Lytechinus pictus: one gene and its partner. The protein of the gene in region 1 purifies or fractionates together with the protein of each later gene. This does not show direct contact. Links are inferred from orthologs where the notes say so. Each region holds a gene or a part of one and is shown on either strand. Other genes may lie near its edges.

Evidence for each region. Proteins that work in one complex are often made in the same cells at the same time.
Region 2: the proteins of F-actin-capping protein subunit beta-like (region 1) and CCR4-NOT transcription complex subunit 2-like purify together in Homo sapiens (co-immunoprecipitation; 4 studies listed by BioGRID and IntAct, with this or other methods). This does not show direct contact. The link is inferred for Lytechinus pictus from reciprocal best matches to the Homo sapiens genes CAPZB and CNOT2.

The regions. Positions count from the first base shown.
Region 1 is NC_087258.1:11,166,419-11,173,464, reverse strand, and holds the start of F-actin-capping protein subunit beta-like, read left to right. Parts: upstream 1-3,961; 5' UTR 3,962-4,349; coding exon 4,350-4,352; intron 4,353-7,046. UniProt on the Homo sapiens protein: F-actin-capping proteins bind in a Ca(2+)-independent manner to the fast growing ends of actin filaments (barbed end) thereby blocking the exchange of subunits at these ends.
Region 2 is NC_087263.1:5,245,356-5,252,599, reverse strand, and holds the start of CCR4-NOT transcription complex subunit 2-like, read left to right. Parts: upstream 1-4,203; 5' UTR 4,204-4,234; coding exon 4,235-4,253; intron 4,254-7,244. UniProt on the Homo sapiens protein: Component of the CCR4-NOT complex which is one of the major cellular mRNA deadenylases and is linked to various cellular processes including bulk mRNA degradation, miRNA-mediated repression, translational repression during translational initiation and general transcription regulation.

The DNA of each region.
Region 1 (7,046 bases):
GACAAGTTTCATCTCGCGCTTAGGAATAATAGGAAGATAAGCATCATTTTCATTATGATGACAAAATGTCCTTAGAATGTCCCGGCCCTATGTCAAAATGATAATAAAAAATATCAGCTCGTGCTTCGCGCTCGCATGTTTATTAAGTGTGTTTCACATCCACTTCAAAATTTCCCTACACAGTGCTTGAAATAGTTTTTAAATTGACTCTTTTTCAGATCGGAATATCGAATGTTTCCATCTCGCGCTTCGTGCTCGCATTATTAATCTTCATGATAAAAAAATGTATTCAGATCGATGCTCAGATTCTAGGGCTAAATCTAAATCACGCGCACGCATGTTTATTGAGATAGGCAGCTTGTTCTTTATATAAAACGTTCTTAACTTATCAAGTTTCAGAACAGAATATCAATAATTTTCTGCTCGCGCTTCATGCTCGCATTATTAGGAAGATGCCCAACCCTATTCATGATTTACAAAACATGAATAGAGTGTCCCGTTTTCTCAGGTCTAAAATCTGAATCGCACCAATTGTTTAGTTACATACCTATTCCTTTTATGATTACAATTGCTTAGAATGACCTTTTTTAGGTCGGAATATCAAAAATTGTCAGCTCGAGCGTCGCGCTCGCATTATTTAATTGCTGAAATATGTATCGTCTTTGTGGCTAACTGCAAACAGTTCTTATCAGGCCAGAACGGTAATTTAAAATTTCTGCTCGCAGTAATCATTTCACGCATCTTGTTCAAGATCACAAACATGGCCCAGAAGGTTAAATTTGAAGGACAAAATACATGAAAGTTAAAAAAAAAAAATCACTTTTTTATATAGGGCTTATGAGATTATTTCATATTTATGTTGTTTTCAAAGCTAAGAAGCCCGTAAGAAGGAACTGTGACTAAACTACCCCCGAAATTCAAACAAGCAAAAATCCACTTTGAGCGGCCGATCGGGGAAAATATGGGTGAAAATAATATCAGGCCCCACTCCCTAGTGTCGAAAGCTGGATCCGCCCCTGTGACACATACACACAGATGAAAAAAAATGTTCCCCCATTAAAAAGCATGGACCCCTGTGCCCCCCAGGAAAAAAATCCTAGCTACGCCACTGGGTCTATAAAACGTTTAGCTATTTATACACCTCGAGTTGGCTTGAATCTCCATACCTATCATATTAATTTCATTCAACGTTAACTGAATAACACCGAGGCATATAATGGCTATCTATCATACGAATTGAAGAGTTTTTGGAAGTACATGGATTCATTAAAGAAAACTAAAATGATATACCACAGTGGTGCAATTAGTCAAATCTTTTTCTAGCGCCGGACGAAAAATATATTGCCTGTTGACAAGATGATATCGTTTTGTGATAAATTTTGACCTATAATCGAAAAAATAATATTCACTCTTTATCATTTCCCTTTCTCTCTCCTTTTCCTTTTTTTGCTTGGTCGGATCTTTTTTGGGGAAGAACGCACAAAGTCCGCCCCTTATTTATTCTCCAGTAATAGGATATCAGCCGACATCACTACATAGGGTGATAGTCTGGTGGCCCATTTCAAAATAATTAATAATTATTTTTCGTTAATTTCTTGCAGGAGACAGTGTTCGGGGGTGAATTTGCATCCTGCTATAACTCCAAAACCGGGGACCTCATCGGCTCATCGCTAGCATAGATAGTAACTACATCTTCAGCAGAATCGGCTCTCATTCTTGAAAAATCTGATTGAATTTGCATGTGTTTTTACGGTGAAATAAATCAACATTGTGATCCCTTGTTTTCAGGTCTAATCGGGGGTCTAATATATAATTACATAATCACGTACATCTTTGCACTTTGGCTTATTATATAACATACCTTGTAACATACCTTGTTGTGGGCGTAAAGTTTTACCTAAAAAACTTGTTTGCCCCTCTCCTCCTTCCAATTTCTATGATTTCATGAAGTCATTATAGTGGAAGATAAACTGGTACAGGTTATATGGCGATGTGTGGTTTCAGCAGGTAACGTTATTAATGGGAACATGGGCAAGTAAAGGATTGGTCAGGGTTAAACTTTTCCTTTTTGAGGTTCCAAGATTTCTCTAAGTTTGATTTGAAAGAGTTTATGGAAGTACTCTTCACAACTTGATTTGGCAGGTTGTTCCACTCTGATACTACTCGGTGTGAGAAAGAATTTTGTCTTTTTCGAGTATTTGCTCTGGGTTTCTCAATCTTATATATATGTCCTCTAGTTCTGGAGTCTTCATTGAATTTGAAGAATTTAGAAGTCTCTAGATCGTCAGTTCCTTGAGTTATTCGGAATACTTGGACAAGATCTGCTCTGTGACGTCGGTAAGATAATGAAGGTAACTTCAATTGGGCCAATCTTTCCGGGTAGCTTTTGACCTGTAAACTTGGAACTGCTTTTGTAGCTCTTCGTTGAACTCTCTCGAGTTTCTCCTGATCCTTCTTCAAGTATGGATGCCAAATCTGTGAACAATACTCCAAAGCAGGTCGAACTATGGACTTATAAAGTAGTTTGAAGCTCTTAGGTTCAAGGAATGAGAAAGATCTCTTGATGATCCCCATCTTCTTATTTCCTGCTTTTGCTATCTGATCTATGTGTTGAGAAAAACTTAGCTGATCGTCGAAAATGACACCCAAGTCCTTTTCACTGTGGCTGACTTCGATGGTCGGGCCATCCAAACTTAACTTATAGTCATAGTGCAGGTTCTTTCTGCCATAGTGAAGGACTTTACATTTTCCTGTATTGAAGGGAAGTTGCCATAAGATTGCCCAACTTTGAATCCTCAGTAAATCAGCTTGAAGGATTTCCCATTCTTGATCGTTGTTAACTTCAGCAAATAATTTGGTATCGTCAGCAAATAACTTGATAACACTTGCTTGAGAAGCTAGGACATCTGGTAAATCATTTATGAAAATCAGAAATAGCTCCGGACCGATAACACTCCCTTGGGGAATTCCACTACTGACTCTAACAGAATTTGAGAAAACTCCATTAACAACCACCCGTTGCTCTCTGTTCTTTAAGAAGGATCTGATCCAATTCAAGACACTACCTCTGATTCCATATGAATGAAGCTTAAGCAGAAGTCTTCGATGGGGGACGCTATCAAATGCTTTTTTGTAGTCCAAATATATACAGTCAATTGATTTTCCTTTATCCAAATCCTTAGTCCATTCCTCAATAACTTCCAGAAGTTGAGTAGCACATGATTTGCCTTTTCTGAATCCATGTTGATGTGAGCTATACAGCTGGTTTGTAACCATGTGATTAATAATATTTTCACGAATAATCTGCTCCATAACTTTGCCAATTGTACTTGTTAAACTCACTGGTCTATAATTGTTGGGATTACGTTTATCTCCTCTTTTGAATAATGGAGTTACATTCGCCATCTTCCATGCTACAGGAACAGAACCACTCCTCAAGGATTCATTGAAGAGATCGGCAAGAGGTTGGGCTAGTTCATCTGCAAGTTCTTTCAATATCCGATTTGGAATCTCGTCCGGCCCTGGAGACTTAGTTTTGTCCAGCATCAATAATCTTTCCAAAACCATATCTCTTGTAATGACAATATCATTAAGTGTAGAGTCAAAGGGTCTATCAAGAAATGGAGGAAGATTACTGGTATCTTCTTGCGTAAATATTGATGCAAAAAAGTCATTTAACACCTCAGCTTTATCAAAGTCATCATCCACAGTTGTGCCGTCTGGCCGAGTCAACTCTCCAAGACAGGATTTGGATTTTGTCTTCTTATGCCACTATTATGTGCAAAGTTTGGTGAAAATGATATGGATTTCATTTTAACTGTGGAATTTCCTTAATCACTACATGGTACTATCTTAATATACTATGGTAATTAAATGAAGATAAGGGGAATTTACGTTCGGTGTAATCAAGTATACACAGATTTTTATCTGATTTATAAATTCTAGCCAAACACTTCCGGGTGTAGAATGCGTGGTAGAATGAGGGTGATAAGAAATAATTCGTTCACTCTCTCCCGGGATTCTCCATCAATAGCTGAAGGAATTTCCTTAATTTGATTGATCATTAATTATTAGCTGATGGTTTGTTATAGATATGAAGAAATAGTCTGAAATTAATGAAAACTCTATAAGACAATGAAAACTGATGTAGAGTTTCGTCTTGAATATTCATGCAAAGGCCTTTGGTATTTTTGCCAAATAAGGAAAACCACTGGGAGGGCGTCCCTATTTGAAAAGCCCGGATGTACTTATTCTGCCATTTTGGGAGGGTTCACACGGAAGAGAGCGGCGACCGTAACAAAAACAAAGAGTCATAATCTATTTCTGAGAGCCTAAATTCAACAAAAAAGATGGTAAGTGAAGCTTAAACTCCTTGTAATATATTTATCTTATTTATTTCCATGGTTCTTTGTGATTGTATGAAATAACTGTTATTTTGTCGCTGGTTATTTGGAGTCGCTACTGTAAAGTCAGTCCCACACGTTGACAAATTTGTAGGGTGAGGTGAGACTACCGGGTAACATACCTGAGTAAAAAAAAAATGACAGTGACACTTCACAAATTCCCAATTTAAGGAAAAATATTTCATGAAAATATGATTATTATGTATGGCCTGAAAGAGTATATTCTCCCAAATATACTTTGATACCATTATTTATGTTAGGTAGGACCAAAAAAAAACGAAACTAAAAAGTAATCAGTAAAATTAAAACTTTTTCAGATTCAGAAATAGGCCTACTGTCTTTTAATAAAAGACAGTATTTCTGAATCTGATAATAAGATAGTGATACTGCTAATTAACTAGGCCTAAGTGATATATTTGATAATCATTGACAAATGTCATGACAGAAGATCTATTCTAGGACAAAAAAAAAATGAAACAGCATTCATCTGCTATCTCGAAGATGAAATTAGACTAGATTTGAATGCACGTTAATATGCATGTTATGAGAGGAGTGATACTTAAGTCTTAACTCAGTAGAGGCGCACGGCCAATATGGGAGACTCTCCGATAGGGGAGACAATCTCCCATATTGGAGACTTGCTTTGCAAAAGAACAAAAGAAACAACACCAACAAAAGCGTTATTTTTTCCACCCAAAATTTTGTCTCACTTAGGTCAGAAGCACTCACACGTATTGCGAGGTTAGTATTAGTATACTAACCTCGCACCACGAACCGCGTTTGGCAGTGGATTTCTAACTAGTGGGTCGCGCGTGCTGGGATCTCACTTCTTGGGTCCACAACACACGACTTCTATGGCTTGAATTTTCTGTGCGCGGCGGCATGTAATGAACCCTTGGGTGGGTCAGAAGCCCATTTGTTTTGTGTGTGGATGACAACAAAAATCCTTATCAAAACAAAAGTAGACGGTGAATTTTTAAAGTAGACGGTGAAAAGGGGTAATTTTTTCATGAGGAATCTGCCAATCACATTTTTATTTGCCGCCGAGGTAAACCTTTTGCAGCAAATGTAAACAAAGAAAATTGGTCTCCCAAACTGGAGATTGTCTCTGAAATTGGATACCCAAATTATTTACAAAAGTCTCTGATATTGGAGATAATCTCTCTCTTGGGAGACAGTCTCCCATATTGGCGATGCGCCTCTAGTGTAACTCATCATGTTCATTAAGAACACAGATTCTAACGTTATACTAGTAAGTAGGCCTAAAGTGCCCAAATATCGGACACTTAAGTTAAGCATAATTGGACCAAAACAAAAATACAATCATTGAATCAAATAAAAATCATGTTTATATCTGTAGGACAAATGTTGAATATCAATTTCATAAAAAATAGAATCGAAAAAATTATGGTAAACCGAAAAACGGAAATTATTTACTTACTACCAGAGGCTTTTTTTTGCAGAAAATCGGACGCAGTTTCCAAATATCGGACGCGTAGAGTTGTGCGCCGCGATCAATTTGGCGATTTAAATCACACTCTAGACCCCAAAATAATTGCTTAATTGTTGATAAAATAATATATTTTAGCTGTGCAAATGCCGATTTTAATTATTAGGGGAGAGCGGGGTTATTTGGAACGCGGGGTAAGTTGAAGCATTATAATTTTCTTTAACGCCTAAGTTAAATAAATTTATGCAATACTGCCCTCAATTTATTGCTATTATTGACAGCCATCCACCATATTACAGACAACACATGTGCAACAAGCCTGGTGAAGTTAGAAAGGAATTTTTGTTTTTTCACCTTCTGAGTAATTTTTTTCTCTTTCAAAAATTTTGTATTATCTCAGAGAAGTTTATAGGGGCAGGTCCAAGCTATTGTCCCCTCTGAAGCCAAAATTAAATCTTTGCCTAAATATAACATATTGTATGTCCTTTTAAAGCTTATACTCTGAAGTTTTTGTCTCACCTGCATAGCAGAGTGAGACTATAGGCGCCGCTTTTCCGACGGCGACGGCGGCGGCGGCGTCAACACCAAATCTTAACCTGAGGTTAAGTTTTTGAAATGACAGCATAACTTAGAAAGTATATGGACCTAGTTCATGAAACTTGGCCATAAGGTTAATCAAGTATTACTGAACATCCTGCCTGAGTTTCATGTCACATGACCAAGGTCAAAGGTCATTTAGGGTCAATGAACTTAGACCATGTTGGGGGAATCAACATCAAAATCTTAACCTAAGGTTAAGTTTTTGAAATGTCATCATAACTTAGAAAATATATGGACCTAGTTCATGAAACTTATACATAAGGTTAATCAAGTATCACTGAACATCCTGCATGAGTTTCACGTCACATGACCAAGGTCAAAGGTCATTTAGGGTCAATGAACTTTGGCCAAATTGGGGGTATCTGTTGAATTACCATCATAACTTTGAAAGTTTATGGATCTGATTCATGAAACTTGGACATAATAGTAATCAAGTATTACTGAACATCCTGTGCAAGTTTCAGGTCACATGATCAAGGTCAAAGGTCATTTAGGGTCAATGAACTTTGGCCAAATTGGGGTATTTGTTGAATTACAGCCATAAATTTGAAAGTGTGTTGGTCTAGTTCATAAAACTTGGACATAAGAGTAAT
Region 2 (7,244 bases), on another chromosome or scaffold:
TATATATATATATCACTGCAAGTATATTGAGTATATAAGACCATATATTATATGAACGACCGGAAGTCTCGACAGGCTTGCCTTCTTCTTCCATACACTGATGATAATGATGATGATGATGATTAACAAGGATATATACCCGGGGATATATATCACTGCAAGTATGAGTATAAAAGTAATGAAAGCCAGTATATTATATGATTTCCGATGATATATATCACTGCAAATCAGACGAGTATAAAAACAATGAAAGCCAGTATATAATATGATACACAAGGATATCACTGCAATGAGTATGAAATTATACTCAATAAATTTATACATAATGAAACCCAGTGTATTATATGAATAAGTACATGATATCTGTATCACTGCAAATCAAATGAGTATAAAGGTAATGAAAGCCAGAAGGTAACTTGTGACCAGCCACTCAAAACCAACAATTAGTTGCCCCAAATCAATCTTGGGATTTCTTTTTAATTAGCTTGAAAGAACATATCCTAAACTTTAAAATGATAAATAATTTGTTAAAATTGATCAACAATGACCCTCACAAGTGCTTGTTTGAATACAAAAGAAGTTAAACTTGATCTTAAAGCAGCCGATTTAAAAAATTCTCTAACCAAGATGAAACATGTGTACAAGTGCATGTATTAGAACTAATAAACCCTGAAAACAACCATTATTGAGAATGAAAAGCTAAAACTACAAGGCAATTAACCCGATTTTGTAAATAGGCGTCTTATAGACGCCTAAATGGTACACATAAGTGTATGGGATGAAATTAAGATGGTGTTTTCGGTCACTTTATATTTCAATTTTTGAAGCACTAAATAATTATTTTCGAACGCAATTTTTTCTGGGCTTCATTTTTGTAACATATCACAGACACAGGTGACAAGTGTGACCTTCTAGCTCAGATTTTTAAAAAGTCAAACCAATGTGCATACTGTGAATTCTCGGTTAAAATTCCAAGCAGTACACAAAAGAGGTTAAAAAAAAGATCATGTATCTTGTTTTTTTTATATTCCACTTTACAACTTCGAATTTTGGTAGTAAAAAGAAGAAGAACTACCCTTTCAGATAAGCAAGTTTGCTAATTTTTTCTTTTGAAGACTAGATTACTATTTTGGCTATTTGATACAGAGCCTTCCCTGCAACTTGTTGGTCTTGGGGTGGCTGCTTACATATGGGGCAGGGATACATATCACTGTAAATCTAATGAGTATAAAAGTGATGAAAGCCAAAAAGCACTGCAGATGAATGGACTATGAAAGCATCTAAATGGGCCCTCTAACAGAAGCAGTAAAATCTTGAGTAGCATTTTTAGCATTTTGCTGGCGAATTATCAATGCATAAAATAACTTGTTATTTGTTGCAGTAAAACATGGCTACTTGGAAGCAACGTTGGGATGTCGGTCGTGTCGTGTGCGAAAGAAAGCGACCAAGTGCAGCATTTTGCTCATCTCTCGTCTGAAAATAACCCATTTCAAGTTCAAATTATGTTGGTTCTGCTACAAATTTGTTTTTAATGGAGAAGGAAACATGTGTTGTCTCAAGATACAAATTTTTTCTAGACCCCAGCCAACAATTTGTGATAAGTTATGCATAGAATATATTATTTATACATATAATATATACATATAATATATCATAGGTATCCTCTTCATACAACATGTGTGCACATGTGGATCTAAATATTTGCAGTTTTCAATATTGACTTGAAAATTGGTCAGAGAAGATTTTATCAGGAAGATATGGTCCAGGCGTGGATCCAGGGGGGGGGGCACGTGCCCCCCATTTGAGAAGAAAAATTAAAATTTGTAATGTAAAAATGCCATTGAAGCGGAGATGTGCCCCCCCCCCCCCCTTTTGAAAGTGAAGACCTTTTTTTTTTCTTTTTGCTTGTCAAATTTTTTCAGGTACAAAATATCCTTAATTTGTGGTTGAAAACCATTTTTTTTTTTTGGGGGGTGGGGGCTTGTCAAAATTTTCCTCCAAAAAATTTCCCCCCCCCCTTTTGGAAAATCCTGGATCCGCCCCTGATATGATCCCCTGCCCCCAGAGAATCATTGGTTTCTTATTTATCTTCATTATGGGCCTCTGACCCTACCCCACCGAGTTATGTTCATGATTGCCCAATACTAAATGAGATTGATAAAAATAGGATAAACTAAATTGTATTATTTGTAGAAGCGTTTATGATCCGGCATGGCAGCCAAGCATATTTTCTTCCCAAGATTTCATTCAAAATTGCACTGTGCTTTAATAAATAGTTTCCAAGCTGGAATTGTGACTTCTTTAAGATATTACCCTTCCCTTTTGAAATGAGACCCCTCCCTCTGTTTTTCTTTACTCCACCCCACATGAATCTTCCAAAAGTCGAGTGATTAGCTAAATAATTTGTATACTATCAGTACTTGACCCTTCTTGATAATGGAATTTGTTTATGAGAATTTGTCAGTCACTGATACTTTTTGTAAGTTGCAATTGATTATTATTTGTAAACAGGATTCCTGATCTTTCTATCAGCAAGTAATGTAAACATATACTGTCATTTTGTAAAACATATATACATGTATATACTGCATGTTTATTTGGAAAGTTCTGTAAGAAAAACATTGTTTTGGTATTTTATTGTTAATGTCAAACATATTTGTCTGTTTCATTTGTGGTATATGTATGTATTAGTTTCTTGCCAATCCTGTGCAGTTATATATTTGAGCACATAAAGTGATGTTCTAGACCTTAATTCTCTCACATTTTCTAACATTCATTTTAACTTAGAATGTTGTTTTATTATTTTTTTTCATCCATGTACCCCCGCATGTACCTCCCTTCGAAGTAAATTGATGCAGAAGTAAGAGTATTTTATTATTTTAGCAAAATGAAAGTATGGTTGCTTTGATAAATTTTTAATAGGAAAATATTAGAAGTCTTCTTTGATTTTTTTTAATTAAAAAAAATCAACATGTTATGACAAGCACAGCATGTGATATCTTTCTTATTTTTTGAATGAATTTGATATAACATCAATTTCCCAAAGTAGGGGTAAGTTTTATGATTATTTCACCTTTAGGTCCTTTTAATTTACTGATATTTTGAGTTTTACGTGAAATTATGAAATAATTTTTGCATCATTGGATAGCCTTCGACGTACTCTTTAATGTTTGAAATAAAAAACATTGTTAAATTACCCATAAGTCCTTTCTTGGAGGACACTGACGATAATTTCTGGGCATTGCTAAAAAGTTTTTGGGCTCTATCTTGATTATTATTTACATTCAAACATGCATTTAGGATATTCATCATATATTTTTCATTGAAATCTAGATATTTGAAGAGTTTCTCTGAGGTATTATTCAATTTGTATTGCAGAGAAAATAATAAAATTGTACTTATTTGGTATGAAATCACCTAGTGAAGTCTGTCATAATTATGTCCATAAATGATGTTATACTGATATTAATGATTGAAAAATGATGATATGAAATTTATTGACAAAGAAGGAGGAGGAGGAAGAAGAAAAAGATGATGGTGATGCTGTGATGATGAAGATGATTATTTTGATATTGATATCATTTTTATTGTGAAAATAATAAATGATGATGATGATGATAATTGTGATAATAATGATGATGATAATGATAATAAATAATGATAATAATAACAACAACAACAGTAATAATAATCTTAGTAATAATAACAATAAAGATTGTTTAAAGTCGGTGATCAACACAGCTCATAAACAAACAATTGAAATATCATTATTTGGAAAAACAAATTTAAAATATGATTGTAGGTCTACATTATTATCTGGGCCTGTTTTTTTTTTAAAGAATACCAGGGAAGCAAGAAATCATAATGATGATGATGATGATGATGGTGATGATGATGATGATGATGATGATGATGGTGATTATGATGATGATGGTGATGATGATGTGATAATGATGATGATGGTGATGATGAGGATGATGATGATGGTGATAATGATGATGATGGTGATGAAGATGATGATGGTGATAATGATGGTGATGATGATGTGCTAATGATGATGATGATGATGGTGGTGGTGATGATGATGATGATGTTAATGAGTATGATGAAATGATATATAAATTAAAAAACAATACGGAAACCGTCACGTATGTTGGCTTTTGTTTGGGCAAATCTCGCCACATGATGGCGCTAAACGCATTACAACTGGCAGCCATTATTACGTACAATATCAATGACAATCTTTAATCTCAGTAAGTTGAAGTTTAAAACGATATTTCTCAAACTTAGTGCTTTAGAATTCAGTGTTTGTGATATTTTATGATTCTAAGAATAATAATTTTATTGTTGAGCTCTCTTGTGTGTGATATTATTATTGGATGGGTTCGTTATTTTGTTCTGATTTTGATGTGTCGCGTAGGTTCTTTACAATGCAATTCTCTAAAATGTAGTCCCATACGTTGCAATTTGTGTGAGTAAAAAGTAAATGCGTACGTGCGTGCCTGTATTGAACTCTGTCTTTACAGATTAAATATCGATTTAAATGTTTCTAATCAACCTACAGATCTCAGGTAGATGTTATTTTTCAAAGTTGAATTCCATATGACTGGAAGTTGGGGCATTAGAGTTGTAGATCTGGATCCAAAATCAGCAATCACGTTGACTTATGAACGACTTGTTTGAATTTGAGTTGACTTTCGACTGCAATTTTAACTTTTTAAAGTTTGTCGGAGTTGTCAAATATTTATGGTTGGACGTACCCCTTATCGACCACCTAATTTTCTTCTAAGAATCTTAATCACAAAGATTTTAGACTCTAGATCTAATTGGTTTAAGCTAGTTTCCATCTCAAGTCATGTGCAGAAAATGGAGCGGATCAAAATTCCTTTTTTTTAGAAATAAAAAATAGATAGATTGCTTTGCTCTGACTGACAGTAGAGGTGCACGGCCAATATGGGAGACTCTCTCCCAATAGGGGAGACAATCTCCCACATTGGAGACTTGCTTTGCAAAAGGACAAAAGAAACAACACCAACAAAAGCATGATTTTTTCCACCCAAAATTTTGTCTCACTGAGGTCAGAAGCCCATTTGTTTTGTGTGTGATTGACAACAAAAATCCTTATCAAAACAAAAGTAGACGGTGAAAAGGGGTAATTTTTCATGAGGAATCTGCTTATCACATTTTTATTTGCCGCCAAGGTAATCCTTTTGCAGCAAATGTAAACAAAGGAAATTGGTCTCCAAAACTGGAGACTGTCTCTGAAATTGGATACCCAAATTCTTTACAAAAGTCTCTGATATTGGAGATAATCTCCCACATTGGAGACAGTCTCCAATATTGGCCGTGCGCCTCTACTGACTGAGATTCTATTCACGTAGCCGTCATGGCCGTAGATGTCAGTGACCAACGAACATGAAGATTTCAAATTTCCATCCTTCTTTAGGACTGACCAGCTGCTATACACTAATGTTAATTTTACAGCCGATTCTTGTCAGTTTGTCACGGTGGCAAAACATATTGACTTGCGAATCAGTTCGATGTCACCTTCTCCTTCCTCTGCTAGTCATGCTAGTCCTGGAGATCTACAGCTTTTTAAAATTTTATCCCTCTTTTTTTCCGTAAAATCGGTTTTTATCATTACTATGGATGCTGCGCCTAGTTTCCTGTGCGTAGCGTTTGTATGCAATTTAATCTAAATGCGCGCAAGTGCCAAAGGTGATCAGTTTCAAAAGAGGTGGTCGATGAGTGGTGGAATCACTGTACAGGTAGCCGTGGGGACCTTGCCGGTCGTCAAAATCACCGAGCACAAAATTTCATGGCTTTAAACCTGAGATCATAGAAAAACCAATGATTAGAATATATGAAAAATATGATGATTGGGCAGTCCTTCACGTTTATAAATTCATGGAGCCCAATAAATCGCTCTCCTTATTTTTTCGAGGAGCTCAGTTGAGCTCCTCAGAATCGCTCTCCTATAGGAGCTCAATTTAATACAATACATGCATGCTAAATTGCAGATTTTTTTTAAAATTGTAAATGCAATAGCTGTGTAGCTATTAATTAAACTGTGGTGAAACTAGGCCTGGGTTTACAAAATATCGCGCTCCTTAAAAAAAAAACCTAACAAAAAATTGCTGAAATTTCGGATTTTACATCTTTAAATCCATGAAATGGCCATCTGTTTTCCATAATTCCTTGAAATTATTTTGATTTAGTTGAAAGTGAAGAATATTCAGCTCTTTATTGACTCGGATTGACGATGTTACAATCGGTAAATATTGTAGTCCCACATGTAGACTTCCGTGGTGTTGCAACATTAAAGGACAAGTCCACCCAAACAAAAAGTTTATTTGAATGAAAAGAGAAAAATAGGTGGTGGTGGTGATTTTTTACCTGATTGCTAAGAAAGCATGAATGCTTGTAAGCCAACAAGTATAACACTGAAAATTTCATCAAAATCGGATTTAAAATAAGAAAGTTATGACATTTTAAAGTTTCGCTTAATTTCACAAAACAGTATATGCACATCCTGTTCGGTATGCAAATAAGGAGACTGATGACGTCATCCACTCACTATTTCTTTTGTATTTTATTATATGAAAATCTAATTTTCTTCTCATTGTCAAGTAAAACAACAATTAATTCCTCCCTAAACATGTGGAATTAGCATTGTTTAATATTATATGATTCAGTCAAGTTGGTCCTTATTGTCAAATCTGTAAAAAATGAAATATTGTATAATTCTAACAATAACAAACAAAAGAAATAGTGAGTGAGGGACATCATCGACTGTCTCATTTGCTTGTCACTGAGTTGTGCATAATTAACATTTTTCTGAGGTGGACTTGACCTTTAACTGAAAACGATCGTTGATTGTTATACACTTGGTCAAAACCATGAAAATCTACACATGGGACTACAATATTTACCGAGTTTAACATCATAAATCAGAGTCAGGAAAGAGGTGAATATTCTTCATTTTTTGGGTAATTTCCAACTAAATCAAAATAATTTTAAGGAATTATGGAAAATAGAATCTATGCCTATTTTATGAATATAAAGATGTAAAATGTGAAATTTCAGCAACCTTTTTTTTTTTTAAGGAGCGCGATATTTTGTTCTCCTTATTTTATTTAGGAGCGCCGGCGCGATTGCGCTCCTAAAAAAATGAAGGTCTGATTGGGATTCCTTTTGCCTAAACAGACTGACCCCAAAATCGTTCAAAAGAGCATCAGTTTTCG